3 linked regions of the Mus musculus genome follow. The protein of the gene in region 3 purifies or fractionates together with the protein of the main gene of each other region. This does not show direct contact. Links are inferred from orthologs where the notes say so. Each region holds a gene or a part of one and is shown on either strand. Other genes may lie near its edges. The genes, in order: Cdan1, Nasp and Asf1b.

Region 1 (3,086 bases), on a different chromosome or scaffold from region 3:
TGTGACTCCCAAGAGCTAAAATAGTATCTGGCCCTGCTCCAAACAAAGTAGTGGTCTTATAATAAAGAAATAGAGACTAGAAAACAATGCCCATAGGTGGGGACTATAGGAAGGAGGGAAAAAGGTATCAAGCTAGACTGCTTCTCAATATGCAGAGGATTTCTAGTTTGAGGTCTCAGAGGAGCATCAAAGAGGAGTATTCAGACTCTAGATAGGACATTTTCCCTTAGTATTTTAAGACACCATCTGGGAATTGGTTATGTAGTTTTATCTCAGTGAGTTTCATCTTTTGAGCTCTGTGGCAGCACACAGTCTACAGCCTTACCACTACATCTACTTCCCTCTGGATTGTCCATATAATTGCTTATCTTAGCTGTGCTGTTACTGCCTGAGCCTCAGCCATAAGAACACCTTGACCCAGTTGCTTCACCCCCTTGGGCTCTGTTTTCCTTCTGCCTCTCTCCATTGGCTGGTTCCCATCCCAAACCAAGTTTCTGGCATTCTGGCATGAAGTTTCATCACTGCTCTCTACAGGATGTGCTCTCCCTGGCGGCCGGGCCTCGGGACCCTGAGGAGGGAGTTTCCCCAGAGCATCTGGAACAGCTTCTAAACCAGATGGGCCAGTCACTGCGATGCCGCCAGGTGAGATGTGGGAAGAGCCACATTGGCTCAGGACCAATCCTCAGAGCAGTAAGAATGACGCCCATGTCTCCTTTCCCCCCATAGTTCCTGTGCCCAACTGCTGAGCAGCATCTGGCCAAGTGCTCTGTAGAGTTGGCTTCCCTTCTAGGTATGTATGGTTCCTCTTCCACCAGGTCCCTCATGCTACATTCCCCAAACCCCAAGGTTGCGTACAAGCAGGGTTAGGAGCATAGGATGTGCTCTTCTGCCTCCATTTAAAACTTCTCTTCCCTGTAGTTGCAGACCAGATCCCCATCTTAGGGCCCCCAACACAGCACAGGCTGGAGCGAGGACACGCTCGGAGGCTTCTACATATGCTGCTTTCCTTGTGGAAGGATGACTTCCAGGGGCCAGTTCCATTACAGCTTCTACTTAGCCCAAGAAATGTAGGGCTTCTGGCAGATACTAGGCCAAGAGAGGTAAGCCAGTAGTTTTTGCTGGTGGGTGGGTGGGTGAGTAGTTAGATTTATGTATATAAATGTTTTTTTCTGCATGAATGTGCACCATGTTGGATCCCCTAGAACAAGGGTGGCTATGAGCTACCATGTCAGTACTGAGAATTGATTTGCAGAGCAACAAGCAACTCTCAACCTCTGAGCCATCACTCTAGACACATACATGTGGATTTTCAAATAGGATCTCAATCTGTAGTCCATGTTGGTCTTAAATTCACAGATTTCTTCCTGCCTCTGCCTCCCCAAGTGTGGATTACAAATATGAGCCATCATGCCCAGCTCCTGCAGCCATAGTGGGAGGTAGTGTGTACTTGTCAGTGAGCATTGTTCTTACTGAACCTGAGACTCACCGATTGGCTAAACCAGTTGGCTTACAGGGTTTCCTATCTAGCCCCACCTGCACTAAGGTTACAGGTAGATACTTGTACTACATGGATCCAAGGAAGAGCTGGCCCTGGGGGTGAGAGTAAGAGAGCTGACCCTTACCCTAACCACCTACAGTACTCCAGAAAGCAGCCTTACACATCGCAAGAGTTGTGGGAGAGCCAGCCCTGTAGATATGAACATAGGAAAGCTGACCCATGCTTCTAGTCTCCCATGACACAGGCCATCATGTTTGCACATCAGAACTTTGCTGAGCAGTCAACCCCTTCATTCCCTGCAAGTCATGTTATTAACATTATCCAGTGCCCACCCCGGATTTTATAACAGCTGCTTCTTTTATTCTCTTCCTCATCCTTGCTAAAACATGCACCTTTTGTCTCAATTTCCTCCTTGGGGCACCTTTTCCTTTTCCTTTCTTTTCTGTGTTTATTTGCATTTATTTTATTTACTTTTTTATTATTTATTTTGGGGTGGGAGGTGGTTCAAGATATTGTTTCTCTGTGTAGCCGGAACTCACTGTATAGCTGGAACTCACTCTGTAGATCAGGCTGGCCTCAAACTCGAGATCTTCTTACCTCTGCCTCTGCCTCCTGAGTGTTGGAATTGCTCTTAACAGCATGTTAAGCTTTATCTCCAACCCCAGCTCCATCCTTTCAGATGTCTACTCTTGGGACTGCTATCCAGTCTTCAGTCTCTACTGTTAGGACTACTCAATGATCCTGACAACTTTTGACTTTCTCCGTGGTGTTTTACAGTGGGATCTGCTGTTGTTCTTACTCCGGGAGCTGGTAGAAAAGGATCTCATGGGACATCTGGAGATAGAAGCCTGCTTAGGCCGCCTTAATGAGGCCCAGTGGCCAGGGGTAAGGAGTCTTAATGTTAATTGCTTTGTCATACATTAATAAACCTTAGTTTACCAGTCATGGAGATTTGTATCTGCTTTTGCATAGAAGACATTAGATGAAACCGCTGGGTTATCAGTGTCTTCCTGGCTGTGAGTGCTTATTTAGGATTGACCTTGGAAAGGACAGAACATCCAGAATTACTTTTTCTCTTAACCTTTCTACTTACTTCAGGACTTCTCAGAAGAATTGTCAACACTGTTTCGCTTGTTCCTAGCTGAGCCCCATCTGCTAGAACCCCAGCTAAGAGCTTGTGAACTTATGCAACCAAACCGAGGGACAGTACTGGCCCAAAGCTAGGGCTAGGAAGCAGCCCTCTTGGGCATGTCACCAGAACCTGCCTCCTGTGCCTCAGGAGGAGCCTCAAGACCCCACTGCACGCCTTGTTGGGGCAAGAGTGTCCAGGTGTGTAACCGGGCTTGCTGCTCCTAAGTGAAGGAAGTGTGTTGCTTCAAGCATCCAGACACCGGCCCGCCTCAACACCTGAGATCTAGAGGAAGGAGAACCTGATTCAGAGTCACAGTGGAAAAGCCCAGAGACTCCGATCTTGGAACAGAAGGGCTGGCGTTTTTAATCCAGCTAAAAGAAATGCGTGTGCTGATCAATGTATTTCGAGCCTCAAGTTGCTATCCCAGCATCTCTTAAAACTGTGGTTCTGAGAAAT
Region 2 (3,654 bases), on a different chromosome or scaffold from region 3:
TCTAATTTCATTAAATCATTTTTGATATTAGAAGTGACTTTAAAAAAAATGTGGTAAGAAGCATGTTAGCTCTTAATTGTATTCTGTGAGTTGAAATAGGAAGGCTGATTGCCTTTAGCTTCAGTTCATGGTCTGTCAATGTGGCTTGTGAGATCCACTCCCATTCCTTTCTACTAAATGCTGGCATTAATCTTTAACTTGTTATGTAACTGGGGATTTATACCACCATACTGGTTTTATGCTATTCTAGGCTTTAAATCTAAGGATTCATCCACAGGTAGACATTTTCTCAACTTAGTCACACCACATACACCTCTTGGAAACAGTTTTTTAAATTTACTTAGTATTTTTTACTATTTTATGTGTATAGGTGTTTTGTCTACATGTTCATTTATGCACTGTGTACCTAGTGTTACTTGGAAGCCAGAATAGGTTACTAGATCCCCTTGAACTAGATGCCATATGGGTGCTGGGAATTGAATCTAGGTCCAATGCTTATACTGAGCTGTTGCTAGCCTCTCTGTATCACTCACATTCCACATGTACCATGTTTCCCCTTCTGAGAACAAGGCCTTATTTTAGCCCTGACTCACTTGGAACACACCATGTAGACCATGCTGACCTATGCCTATCTTCTCGGTGCTGGGATTAAAGGGTGTGTCACCATGCTTTAGTTTTTTTTTTTTTTTTTTAATTTTATTTTTATGTTTGTGGCATGCCTACTTTGTATATGTGCTTGTATATTTGTATGGTGTGTGTGTTCTGTGCACACATGTTCAGTCAAAGGTACAAGGTTGATATTGGGAATCTTTGATCATTTATTGAATACAGCTCTCTCAACTGAACCCAGATCTTGCTGAGTAGGATCCCTTCTCTACTTTCTAAGTACTGGAAATACAAGTTGGTCTACCCTGCGTTTAAGAGGGTCTTAGGGATCCACCTCCAGTCCTCATGCTTGTTCAACAAGATATTTACCCACTGAGCTAATACTGTAGCCTCCTATTTCTCTGTATAACAGCCCTGGCTGTCCTGGAACTCACTATGCTGACTAGTCTGGCCGTGAATTCTTAGAGGTCTGCTTGCCTCTTCTGGGGTCAAAAGCACAGGCCACCACACCTAGCTCATTTATTTAGGGTATTACCCCTCCTTCTAGAGGGTTTCATATAACACTGGTTGGTTTTAGTCTCCCTGTATTTCCTGTGATGACCTTAAAATTTTAAATTTTTTGCCTCCTTCCAACTGCTGAGATCACAGGTCTGTTGTACCATACCTGCTTTTATGCAGTGCTGGAGATTAAACCCAGAGATTTCTGTGTTTACATACTAGACAAATGCTATCAACTGAGTTAGGTCCATATTTCCTCCTTTTATTTTTTGAGTCAGAGTCTCACTATGTAGTCTTGGGTGTCAGTGAATTTTCAGAGATACTCGTGCGTGCGTGCGTGCGTGTGTAAAACAGAAATATTTGGCTCTTTACTGTTTTTGTTTTGGTTTTGGTTTTTTGAGACAGGGTTTCTCTGTATAGCCCTGGCTGTCCTAGAACTCACTCTGTAGACCAGGCTGGCCTTGAACACAGAAATAGCCTGCCTTTGCCTCCCAAGTGCTGGGATTAAAGGTGTGTGCCACTGCTGCCCAGCCTGCTTGCATATTTCTTTTAAGTGCTGGGATCAAAGCTGTGCCACCATAATCTCTCTGCTTTTGAGACAGGGTCTCCTGTTTCTATAATCTGAGAATGGATATTATAGTTATCTACTAACCATGTTTTGTGTATATGGTACTAGAGACTGATCTAAAGCTCTGTGCATGCTAGGAAAGCACGGTTATATCTCCATTCTCAACCCTACCTGTTTATTTTTTCCATATGTTTTACTTTTAATTTTAGCTAGTAAGCGTGTATATCTTTTGGTTTCCTTGGTGGTTCTTTTGTTGTGTAATTAGCATCTATTTATAATAGCATGTTTTGTAAGGTTTTATGAAAGTTGCATTTTTAATTTTTTTTTAAAGATTTATTTATTGTATGTAAGTTCACTGTAGCTGTCCTCAGATACTCCAGAAGAGGGCATCAGATTTCGTTACGGATGGTTGTGAGCCACCATGTGTGTGGTTGCTGGGATTTGAACTCGGGACCCGGAAGAGCACTGAGCCATCTCGCCAGCCCTAATTTCTTTTTCTTTTTCTTTTTTTTAAAGTAAATGTGACATAGCAGGTCTTCTCTTTTTTCATATAGTATCTTGGTATGTAGTTGAAGCTCATTCTCAGTCATCCTGCCTTTACCTTTACAGTGATCATGGGTGTATGCATCTACTTGGTCAATTTATTAGGTCTTTTTTTTTTTTTTTCCCCCCGAGACAGGGTTTCTCTGTATAGCCCTGGCTGTCCTGGAGCTCACTTTGTAGACCAGGCTGGCCTCAAACTCAGAAATCCGCCTGCCTCTGCCTCCCAAGTGCTGGGATTAAAGGTGTGCGCCACCACGCCCGGCTTTATTAGGTCTTTTTAACTATTATGGTGTAAATGTAATATATCCAATTAATATTGATGTAAACAGTATTTGGCACTAAATATATTTTTTTCTTTCAGTCTGGATGTGGATAGTGAAGCTAAGAAACTACTGGGATTAGGACAGAAACATCTGGTGATGGGTGACATTCCAGCAGCTGTTAATGCATTCCAGGAAGCAGCTAGTCTTTTGTAAGTATATGTTCTGTTGTAAAACAGTAGTAAATAGCTTACAAACTTGTAACAGGTTTTCTATGGGGAGAAAGAAGGAAGATTGAAAGTGGGGTGGGTATAGGAGTATGATGGTAGAATACTTACCTAATATACGTGAAATCCCATGTCTAATTGTCTGAACCATGAAAACAATTCTGGCTTTTTATTTTCTGTGGATGAGTTTTTATTATAATAAAGTAATTTCATTTAACTTTTGAAGAAGGTGATTTTCATCATAGTCACTAATGATTAAGAGGAAAACTAATTCATTTTTTACTTTTTATTATGTAAAATATGCCTCAGAGACGAGTATTGGTGGGGCACTCCTTTAATCTCAGAATTTTGGAGGCAGATGTCAGCCTCGTTTACAGAGGGAGTACTAGCACATCCAGGTATACAGAGAAACTCATGAAAAATTTACTTAGGTTCAATTCTAAGACCTTTTAGGTGATAAGCAAGTACATTACCATTAAGCTATTCCCTTATTCTACTGGGATATCAGTTTGGTTTTTTGTTTGTTTGTTTGTTTTTGTTTGTTTTGGTTTTTTTGAGACAGGATTTCTCTGTGTAGCCCTGGCTGTCCTGGAACTCACTTTGTAGACCAGGCTGGCCTAGAACTCAGAAATCCGCCTGCCTCTGCCTCCCGAGTGCTGGGATTAAAGGCATGCGACACCACGCCTGGCTTCAGTTTGGTTTTTATTTTTTAATTTTTTATATGTATGAATATGTCTCCTGAAAGTATGTACATATGCCATATGTGTGCCAAGTGCCTATGGAATCCATGATTGAGTATTGGGATACCTTTGGTAGTAAATTGTGAGTTGTCAAGTATGTGAGTACTTGAAATCAAACCCAGTTTCTCTGCCAGAGCAGCAGCAGCTTTTTTAAAACTCTCAACTTTCTCTCCAGCTTGACTGCTCTTGATTTAATTTCTCCTACTAAATCT
Region 3 (3,654 bases):
AAGTTCCTGAGTCAACCCTTATTAGTAAGGTATTTGAGAGAAGGTCTTACTGCATAGCTTAAGTTGGATCCAAACTATGTGTACTGGGTTATAAGTATATACTGCTGTGCCCAGCCCTGGCTGATAAACAAGTAACAAGGACTCTTGATCCTTATTCTTCCTTGAGGGGAATAGTTCAATATTCATGAACTATGTTTATGGGTTTTATACAACTCCTGTGAACAGATCACAAATTAGTGGTCCAGTGGTCACTAAGAACTGTGACCCAGAGGTCCCCACTTCTGGGGAGGGGAAGGACATCTGATGAGACTGGGTGAGTTCAGAGTGGTGGTCCTTTAAAAGATAGCTTCAATCAGACAGCTCCTGGCAGTCAACTGAGACATGTGGCTCAGGCAGGCCTTGAACTTGTGGTCTTCCTGCTTCTACATCCTAAGTAGCTGGGATTACAGTAGTTTTGTCACCAGTCCAAGTTTAAGGATTTGAACTTAAACTTGACTGCCAAAACCAGTGTGCTTTCAGGTAAAAGAGGAAGGTTCTAGGCTTAGGTGTGGCTCAGTAGTGAATGTCTAGTATGTCAGGCCCTGATTCCATCTCCAGCCTGAAACATTTCTGGAAATCAAGAGCTAAAGCAAAACTTACTTACCTGAAAGACGAACATATGCCTTCCTGCAGGGACAGGGCCCACCAGCACTGAATCTAGGATCTGATCAAACTCCTCACTCTCAGCTGAGCCCACATAAATGATCTTCCACTCCAGGTCTGCAAGAACATGGGGGATAAGGGAACTGAGGTCTTAAATAGCTGGAGAGCAAGGCAAGGGTCTTCTTGTCAGCATTAGGCAAATCTGAATATACTAGAAGGTCCTATGAACTGGTGTGTTTGCTGGGCTGTCGGTTCTGGCACCACAGTCCTGATTAAGAGCAAATATGAAGATCTATTTTAATGGAGACATTTCTCCTGTGGGCCTAACTTGGCCAAGTGACCTTGACTCTGGCCCTCCCGGGAAAATTAGGCCTCTCAGTAGCCGAGAGGAACCATATAGTAGAGGCTGACTTGAGTCCTGTGACATCAGCTTGTGAGGGAACAGCAGGGAGTTGGGCTACCTTGGTCTCTGGGTAGGAAGTGCCATCTCATTCTCTTTCACAGAGGATTGGTGCCACCTAGTAGAGCAAATCCCTCGATAACTGGGGCAGGGTGGCAGATTCCAATCCAGCAGGAGAGCCAGGTGGCAGGAGGGGAAAGGCAAAGCTGTGGGGGGGGGGGGGAACCAACTTGTCCCAAAGTTGTCCACATCTGGCACCAACTCATGCCTACTTGTGCACATTGTGGGACAGAGGCTCTGCCAGCAAATGTTGTATGACAAGGCATACCTCCAAAACCTGACAATGTACTCCATCACTAAGGGACTCAGTCCTGGAGTATACCCATAAGAGATCAAAGAAAAAGTACCTGGAGACCCTTCCTATTAATCTCAGAAGAGCCCTGGTACTCATAGCCTCTTGTAGAGGGGCCAAGTGTTACCAGGAGCAAGGTCATGCTAGTACAGAGACGCTTGGCACCAGACCCAGAACTTATTTTAGGCTCTTTGAAATTACACAACCCCTAGCTCCAGCAGCTGGGAAAAGTTGCACAAGCTGAAATTTTCACAGAGAGCTCTTGGAAGCTGCCTGGCTCTTGGTCCAGTGTGGTACGGGCATCCAACACTGGAAGCACACAGATATCAGATCATACTATGGAGTTTGTCACCTGATCCATAAAGCTTTCCTTTATACGTCACGTCCACTCTCTTGTTCCTTCACAATCCCACCTACATCTTTCTAGGTAACCCCATGCCCATGGTTCATCAGGTTCAAACTCCAGCCTTAGTACTTTGGGGAAATTATTTAGTTATTTCATTTTTAAAGTTTATTTTCTTATGTGCCTTTCCTTTTATTTTATGTGTGTGGGTGTTTGCTTGCATGTGGGTCTATGTGCCCTTTGGTGCCTGTACCCACAGAGGCCAGAAGATGGTGTTGGGTCTGCTGGAACTACAGGTACTGTAGGGGGTTGGTCTAGTGCTGCTTGTATTCAAATGCTAAATTCTGTACCCAAGATCTGGTTACTCCATGATGAGCATATCTTCATGTATACCAGCCTTTGTTGTGTAAACCTTGCTCCACATGTTATCCCCGACTGGTTAATAAAGATGCCTACAGTATGTAGCTGTGCAGAAGAGAGGAAGGAGGGCCTCAGGTACTGGGCTTGGGGTCTCAGACAGGGAACATGGTGAGAGAGAAGGAAGAAGTTACCATGAGATAGGTGGATTGTAAGTGCATGACCTATTGGAGTAAGAGTGGCCAGGCAGAACATGGCAAGTTCTCAGTTATTGACAGGGAAGTAGACAAAATAACATAAAAGGTTGATATCTGCCCAGCTCTAAAATTTTTAAGCTTATTATAAAGGTAAAGGTTATTGTTTTTCATTTGAAAACTATATAGTCCAAGTGGGATAGAAATCCCCAGAATAATATTTACCACAACATTTTGGCAAACCAACATGGGGTGAGAACTTACTTATAATCCAAATTGAAATTTCAAATTTCCTGGATGAAAGGTATGTTGTCCCATTAAGATAGAAGTAGTTAATCACTATGTGGGATGGGAGCTAACCCTGGGTTCCCTAGAAGAGCAATCAGTGCTCTAACTGTGGAACAATCTTTCTAGCTGTCCCTAGCTATTTATTTCTTAGGAGTGCTGGTGATGGAACTTAAGGTATGTACATGCCAAAAAAAGTGCTATGCATCTGAGCCATGCTCCCAGACCCATAAATTTAGTTTTATAAAAAGTGACACTCTAGAATCAATGATTCTGGAAGGACAGAAAAGTATGCGACCCTTGCTTGGCCTCACTTTCTAAGATGGCTCTGTCAAGCTCTACTTTCTTCAGGCCCCTTCCCCATACTCCATGGTGCCACATATTCATACACTTAATTAATGTGTTGGAGGGAAGACTAGGCAAAAAAAGAGCTTGACACAGAAGAGTCCCTTGTGTCCCCAAGGCACCTAACATTGCTTAGTTTAGGTCAATACTGTTGGTAAAATCTATTAAAAGGAAGACTGTAGTGTACGCTGGAAGCATCTTCTTGACATGGGCCAGAAACAGACCCAAGAATTCACAAAAGACCACATAAATACTGACTGGCTACAGTCAGAGCTGATCAAATCTTCTACAGGGCCCATAAACTGCAGTCATTTAAAATTTGATGATTTTTTTCATATTTTCTTCCTTCAAAAGATAGATTGCACTGGTATATGCCTTTAATCTCAATATGTGAGACACAGCTTTAAAAAAAAAGACAGAGTTGGGTTTTAGAATTGGCTCTGAGGATTAAGGCACTTGCCACAAAATATAAAGACTCAGCACAATCATTCTCCAGAAAACACATGATGGAAGGAGAGAACTGACTCCAGCAGGTTGTCCTCTAACCTCTGCGAGCACTCGCACATACATACACATATGTAAAAACAAAGGAACAAATGACAGTCTTCCTATGTAGTGTAGGCTAGTCCAGAACTTATAACATATCTGCAAGCCTTCCAAGTATTGGAATTACAAGAGTGCACCCATGTGTGTCTCTCATTCAATCTGGAGCTTACTTTGTCAGCTAGTCTGGTAG

The links.
Region 1: the proteins of Asf1b (region 3) and Cdan1 purify together in Homo sapiens (co-immunoprecipitation; 5 studies listed by BioGRID and IntAct, counting the BioPlex papers as one, with this or other methods). This does not show direct contact. The link is inferred for Mus musculus from reciprocal best matches to the Homo sapiens genes ASF1B and CDAN1.
Region 2: the proteins of Asf1b (region 3) and Nasp purify together in Homo sapiens (affinity purification with mass spectrometry; 5 studies listed by BioGRID and IntAct, counting the BioPlex papers as one, with this or other methods). This does not show direct contact. The link is inferred for Mus musculus from reciprocal best matches to the Homo sapiens genes ASF1B and NASP.

Annotation. Positions count from the first base shown.
Region 1 is NC_000068.7:120,718,438-120,721,523, reverse strand, and holds part of Cdan1 (codanin-1), read left to right. Parts: intron 1-513; coding exon 514-642; intron 643-726; coding exon 727-790; intron 791-918; coding exon 919-1,100; intron 1,101-2,275; coding exon 2,276-2,383; intron 2,384-2,596; coding exon 2,597-2,722; 3' UTR 2,723-3,086. UniProt on the Homo sapiens protein: May act as a negative regulator of ASF1 in chromatin assembly.
Region 2 is NC_000070.6:116,617,903-116,621,556, reverse strand, and holds part of Nasp (nuclear autoantigenic sperm protein), read left to right. Parts: intron 1-2,576; coding exon 2,577-2,687; intron 2,688-3,654. UniProt on the Homo sapiens protein: Component of the histone chaperone network. Binds and stabilizes histone H3-H4 not bound to chromatin to maintain a soluble reservoir and modulate degradation by chaperone-mediated autophagy.
Region 3 is NC_000074.6:83,962,136-83,965,789, reverse strand, and holds part of Asf1b (histone chaperone ASF1B), read right to left. Parts: intron 760-3,654; coding exon 644-759; intron 1-643. UniProt on the Homo sapiens protein: Histone chaperone that facilitates histone deposition and histone exchange and removal during nucleosome assembly and disassembly. Cooperates with chromatin assembly factor 1 (CAF-1) to promote replication-dependent chromatin assembly.